Saccharomyces cerevisiae S288C: one gene and its partner. Changing the gene in region 1 together with any one later gene gives a genetic interaction. Each region holds a gene or a part of one and is shown in the gene's direction. Other genes may lie near its edges.

Region 1 (3,760 bases):
CGGTTCTGACTCTTTTGTAGCCGTCTCATCCTGTTTCCAAATCTTTATGCTTTTGTCTGCTTCTCCAGTGATTAATCTTAAACCTGTTTTATCGAAAGTGCTACAAAGAACACTCCGTTCACCTTCCAGAGAGCCTACCATTTCTCTCGTGGCCAACGATTGGTATTTGTGACCAGACTTATAATCATAAAAGGAAAGCACACCATTGTCACCGCCAGCGAATAATACATCATCTTGATTAATGCTTAAAGTATTGATTATGCCTGTCTTTTCAGACTCAAAATTGGTGAGTAAAGACCCCTCTGCTAATCCCCATGATCTGATGTCATCAGTACACGCAGAAGCCACCGAAAACTCCTTAGGATGCAACGCTGTAGCTCTCACAGACCTCTTATGATGTGTTAGAACTTTCATTGTTTTCCCAGCAACTACATCCCATAACCTTACCGTAGCATCAGTCGATGAACTCACCACTTGAGGGTCTACTGGAGTACACTGTACTTGATTGATTGGACCCTTATGCCCAACTAGTGTAATAACAGGTATTCTGGTTCTCATATCCCAGAGTTTGATAACGCTATCTCGGCCTGCGGTAGCTATGAGATCCAGCGTTGGATGTATGCTCACCGTACGAACCCCCGATAAATGTCCATAGTAATCTCTAATAATTTGGTTTTTCTCTAGGTCCCAGCATTTGACCGTCTTATCTTCACTAACAGAAAATAAATAAGGATGTCGATCTGACACAGCAACGTCTCTCACTGTCATTACATGCCCTGCTAAGGTAGTTTTTAATTTTCCTGTTGCAAGATCCCAAACTTTCATTGTCGTATCATTACTTCCGGTGATGAACCATTCGTTGTCAACAGGATCGATTGCAACGCATCGTACCCATCCAAGATGGCCATTGATAACGCGTGAAAGTTTCCAGGGTGCATGCCATTCCGGCCTTTGTGACAGAAGTTTTTCGTATCGATTAACTATAAGTTCTTCAGCAACCTCTGGTTGGAAAATTTTATTCACAAAAGCAGATGCATGCGTATCGTGATCTTTCTTGCTAATCACTGCTTGTGATGCTTCTGAAAAATCTGTAGGAACATGCTGCAGAGTAACTTTCTTGCCTTCACCACTAAAAGAAGAACTTTCCTTCCTATAAGTATCATATCGCATTAGCAATGATTTCTGACCTTCCATTTCGCTTTGTAGGTGGGGCGGCAGAGTGGCCATATATGAAAATTGGTTATTCCAGCGTATTCTGGAATAAAATTTGTCTACATCTCCTAAATTTTCGACTTTGTGATCATTTCCGTCCATTCTCACTAATCTCCATGTAACACAGTGTCTGCATCCTCGGAAATGGTTTTAAGATGCAATGAAGTGGGTAATAATTACTGTTAGCTTCACATCTTGAATAATCTTTTATTGCCAAAATTGTAGCTTTTCCGTATTAGATGATGAAGAATTTTGAGCACCCTTACTTAATAAAAGAGTTGTTGAACTCGAAATAGGAATACGAGATGAGGAGTAATTCTCTGAAAGTAGATAGCTCCTCTTGTCACATTGAATGCTACTTTATTGTGACTATAGGTGATTTAAGCGAACGAATGTTCTTAGGTCATCGTGGATTTGTGTGGTGATTTTCGGCTTATCTTAACAATGTTGACCGCGTGGACCCTCCCAATCTTGACAACAGAACACTTATCAATAACGGTATACAATAAATATCTTGTATGAATTAAATAAAGTAACGTTTTTTCCCTCATATCATTCCGAATCATTACGAAAATTCCAATACCTGTATTTTGAAGTCAACAAGAGTTTCGTTATCCGAATACTATTTTTTGTATCAATAAATTTTGTTTCGTTTTTCATTAATAACTAGTCACTGTGTAGTGGAAGCAAGTTCTCCTTATCCGTTGCCAAGAGACAATAAAAGACCCACATATAGGTGAATATACTGCTCACCATGGTTAATCCTGTTGGATCCTCGAAATTGGAACAAAACAATATAAAAAGCATTATAGGATCATCGTACAATCGACTATACAGCCAATTTACTTCTGATGAGTTGACAGAAGTGGGAAACTACAAGATTTTAAAACAAATAGGTGAAGGAAGTTTTGGAAAAGTATATTTAGCGCTCCATAGACCAACACATCGTAAAGTCTGCCTAAAGACGAGTGATAAGAATGATCCCAATATCGTTAGAGAGGTATTTTACCATAGACAGTTCGATTTTCCTTATATTACAAAGCTTTATGAAGTGATAGTGACAGAATCAAAAGTGTGGATGGCATTAGAATATTGCCCAGGGAAGGAATTATATGACCACTTACTTTCTCTGCGTAGAATATCGTTATTGGAATGCGGAGAGTTGTTTGCACAAATTTCAGGTGCTGTTTACTATGCACACTCAATGCATTGTGTTCATAGAGATTTGAAGTTAGAGAATATTTTATTAGACAAAAATGGAAATGCAAAATTGACGGATTTTGGTTTTACGAGAGAATGTATGACAAAGACGACATTAGAAACGGTTTGCGGTACCACAGTTTATATGGCACCTGAATTGATAGAAAGAAGGACTTATGATGGATTCAAGATTGATATATGGTCATTGGGAGTGATACTATACACATTAATTACGGGATATTTGCCATTTGATGATGACGATGAGGCTAAAACGAAATGGAAAATCGTCAATGAAGAACCGAAATACGATGCTAAAGTTATTCCGGACGATGCTAGGGATTTGATCTCACGATTATTGGCTAAAAATCCGGGAGAGCGCCCATCGTTGTCACAAGTTTTACGCCACCCTTTTTTACAGCCTTACGGTTCAGTGGTTTTAGATCAGACTCAGAAAATTTTGTGCAGACAGCGCAGTGGAGGGACTCAGTTTAAAAGTAAATTAGAAAGGCGATTGCTGAAGCGTCTTAAACAATCAGGGGTTGATACGCAAGCAATAAAACAATCAATTTTGAAAAAAAAGTGCGATTCACTCTCGGGTCTATGGTTATTGTTGTTAGCCCAAGGGAAAAAGCAAGAAAATTGCAAATATCCAAAAAGAAGCAGGTCCGTTTTATCAGTCAAAAAAGTTATTGAAAGTGCTACGCATAACGACACTAATGGCATTAGCGAAGATGTTTTGAAACCCTCACTTGAACTTTCTAGAGCTGCTTCATTGAGTAAAATGCTCAATAAAGGCTCAGATTTTGTAACATCGATGACTCCGGTTAGCAGAAAGAAGTCTAAAGATTCAGCAAAAGTTCTGAATCCTACTCTCTCTAAAATATCCTCACAAAGGGCTTATAGTCACTCTATTGCAGGTTCTCCTCGCAAGTCCAATAATTTCTTACAAAAAGTTTCTAGTTTTTTCAAGTCAAAAAAAAGCTCTAACAGCAATAGCAACAATAGTATTCACACAAATGTTAGTGAAAGCTTGATTGCAAGCAATAGAGGAGCCCCATCTTCAGGGTCGTTTCTCAAAAAAAACAGTGGTTCTATTCAGAAATCAAGAACTGACACTGTTGCAAATCCTTCAAGGACGGAGTCTATAGGATCGTTAAACGAAAATGTTGCCGGTGCCATTGTGCCACGGAGTGCTAATAATACTACATTAGAAAATAAGAAAACTTCTGGGAATGAAATAGGCTTAAAAGTAGCTCCAGAACTATTATTAAATGAACATATCCGAATAGAGGAACCTCGCCTCAAGCGCTTCAAATCGTCCATATCAAGTGAAATATCTCAAACTTCT
Region 2 (3,362 bases), on another chromosome or scaffold:
ACACTCTATATGGACAATATTCGAATTAAGCGCAATTGATAAATCACAACTCATTGACCATGGAATGTTTTGTACCGCTGCGTTGCGACTTAGATGGAAGTAATATAGAACAGTTACGTCAATCACACTTAAGCCGTAAATTTATTATATTTGATGAGCAACTGAATCTTTGGCTGTGGTTTCAAGGTAATTCGCAAGAGAACAAGAGATTTGTACTACAGAATATGATAATATTAATAAATGAAGCGCAAGTTACCAGAACAAGCACTATCGATGATTATTTTACCCAAGTTGAGAACAATGAAAATCTATGGAGGTTGAAAAACGACTGCTGTTCGAAGATTCTTTTCAAATCAAATGTTGTTATGAATAATGGTTATAATAATCAGATCAAATTTGTCTTTGAATATAAATCTGTGGATGCAAATTTCAATAACCAGGATTCATTACAAGATCCACAGGCAAAGTATACATTAGATAAGTACTCTAGCGAGGAGATTTTGCCAAGTTTTGAGCCAGTTTATTCCTGGTCTTCTGCAGCCACCAAATCATCCAAAAATACTAATAATCATCTGGAGAAAAATAACAGGGCGACTCATCGAGTTAGTTCTAAAAATAGCGAAGTCCACGAAGCGGACGTTTCTAGAAATCCGAATACATTTACTCTTAAGCTCCAATACCCAATATTCTCACTTTTGAATATGAGATTGAGAAACATCTCCTTGAAATCTGAGCATTGCATATTATCATCGTTAGACTTTCAAACTTCTAAAGCATCCGAACAACTGACCAAAAAATTTATTTATCCGCAAGAACACAATTCTTTTCTCAAACTGAACTTTCAAGAAATATCGTATAAACTAATCGACGGAACCTCTCAAATTGAACTAGATCCAATCTGTCCTTTGAAAGTGCCACTCACTGCATTTTCATACGATAGCATTAGCGCTACTTTTAAACTGGTTCTGTTACCCAAATCAACTCAACCACATCGTGTGAAAATCACCTTAGCGTACGAACTCGAGCTGCATCCCAATCTGAAGTTACCTGTGAGAACATCATGGGAAACAGAAGTCACATTGAAGCGTTCTATGCCAATTTCCTCGACATCTTCTCAATACTCGAGTAACAACAATAATACCAATCATAGCGCTTCTTTTAATGGTGCGGCCAACAACGTTAATTCTGGTGGTTTGGCCAATCTAAGATTAGGTGGGGTTTCCTCCTCAAGATTTAGTCTTGGAGCTGCTTCGACTACATCATTGGTGAATAGCAAATTAAGCAATGTAAAATTCAAGTTTATTAATAGCAATATAAAAGTTATTAAGGGCGAAAAGTTTACTATGAGGCTTCAGATCATTAACTCGTCATCATCCCCCCTGGATCTTGTTGTGTATTATAACAATACAATAAACCCAATCCCTTCAGCTAATAACGTACGTAACAGCAATGGTATAAACAACTGTGGCATGAATAATGGGACTATCCCCAATTCGCCCTTGACACTGGAAAATCAGTACCAACTGCATAATAAATATAGAAAAATTGCGGAGGGGATTATACTATTATCCAACGATTACAAAATTCCAGTTGTACCTCCGAGAGAAACATACTTCGCGGATTTACGATTTATTGGTATTATGTCCGGATATTATGGCACTCTCTCCGGACTTAAGGTATTGGATTTAAATACAAATGAACTTATAGAAGTTGGAAATGGCGCATCTGTGTTAATCCAGTAAGCGGAACAAGTATACATTTTATTAACATAGACTACATACTAATCTGTAACATTTCTATAAAAAAGTTATTATCATCACATTACACGATAGAAACACTTCCATATTTTTTTACACTGAAAGGGGCACCTAGAAGATTAAACAACTAAACTGAAAATATACGTGCTAGAAAAAGGGTTTTACAGCTTTACTTAGGCGTTGCGAGTCACCCAAAAGAGCAGTTGAAGGACGCCGCCGTTTCACTAGATACATATATATATAATGTCAGAGAAATTCCCTCCTTTGGAAGATCAAAACATTGATTTCACACCCAACGACAAAAAAGATGACGACACCGATTTTTTAAAAAGAGAAGCAGAGATACTTGGAGACGAGTTCAAGACTGAACAGGATGACATATTGGAAACGGAGGCTTCCCCCGCCAAAGATGATGACGAAATTAGGGATTTTGAAGAGCAATTTCCAGATATCAACTCCGCAAATGGCGCAGTCTCGAGCGATCAAAATGGTAGTGCTACTGTATCTAGTGGTAATGACAATGGCGAGGCAGATGATGATTTTTCCACATTCGAAGGTGCCAATCAGAGTACAGAATCCGTTAAAGAGGATCGTTCTGAAGTTGTAGACCAATGGAAACAACGTCGTGCTGTAGAGATTCACGAAAAGGATTTAAAGGACGAGGAGTTAAAAAAGGAATTGCAGGATGAAGCTATCAAACATATTGACGATTTTTACGATTCTTACAATAAAAAGAAGGAACAACAATTGGAAGATGCTGCTAAGGAAGCTGAGGCTTTCTTAAAGAAAAGAGATGAATTTTTTGGTCAAGACAATACGACCTGGGATCGTGCACTTCAATTAATTAACCAAGATGATGCCGATATCATTGGGGGTAGAGACAGGTCTAAGCTTAAAGAAATTCTTTTGAGATTGAAAGGTAACGCGAAGGCTCCCGGTGCTTAAATGATGATGAATAATAAGAACCATAATGAACTAAGGAAGAGAAGGGGCTTATTCCCTATCATTCCCGTCATACATGAGTATCATACTTGATAGGTTCAGTAAATAACTAATTCATACTGTAAATTCATTTATCAAGACAACTATAATATAGATTATTTACAAACTTGTAAACTCTTCTCTTCTAAAAAAACACATCACATAATACTAAGCTGAAACAAAAAGAATAGTATATATTTCCCAAAGTTGCAATGCCAATACTTTTTCAAGTAAACATTAACCAAGGACTTCGCAAAGAATTTTGCGAAAAATGGGCTGATTTTCATTTTACTTGTTGGATCCACGAAGGTGAATGTAAGAAGCATCACGATGCACCGCAATTTGTTGCCCATTAATCTGCGCCTTTTCGTGACGAATAAATATTCGATACACTGCCTTAATATAGTCCATTTTAGACTTGGAAAAAAACCCTTGGTGAAATATGAATTTATTATCTTTTCGTTTATATTTGCATAATTATCATCAATTGTAACTTCATGTATTTCATTTAGTCTGTCCATTACATGCTTCAAATTTGATGAAGATATGGGCCAATCATTATGGTTCTTGACCCCAAGGTATTGAGAAAAGTTCCTGACTTCGTGGCCGCCGACATTCTTATTT

The links.
Region 2: mutations in YPL150W (region 1) and CLC1 together harm fitness more than expected from each alone (negative genetic interaction), as found in Saccharomyces cerevisiae (2 studies listed by BioGRID).

What each region holds. Positions count from the first base shown.
Region 1 is NC_001148.4:266,222-269,981, forward strand, and holds the start of YPL150W (non-specific serine/threonine protein kinase), read left to right. Parts: upstream 1-1,966; coding exon 1,967-3,760. Other genes in the region: mRNA splicing protein PRP46, read right to left, coding at 1-1,314. UniProt on the Saccharomyces cerevisiae protein: Putative serine/threonine-protein kinase.
Region 2 is NC_001139.9:830,456-833,817, forward strand, and holds CLC1 (clathrin light chain CLC1), read left to right. Parts: upstream 1-2,000; coding exon 2,001-2,702; downstream 2,703-3,362. Other genes in the region: TRS65 (Trs65p), read left to right, coding at 60-1,742; PEX35 (Pex35p), read right to left, coding at 2,897-3,362. UniProt on the Saccharomyces cerevisiae protein: Clathrin is the major protein of the polyhedral coat of coated pits and vesicles. In yeast, it is involved in the retention of proteins in an intracellular membrane compartment, presumably the trans-Golgi. The yeast light chain is important for cell growth.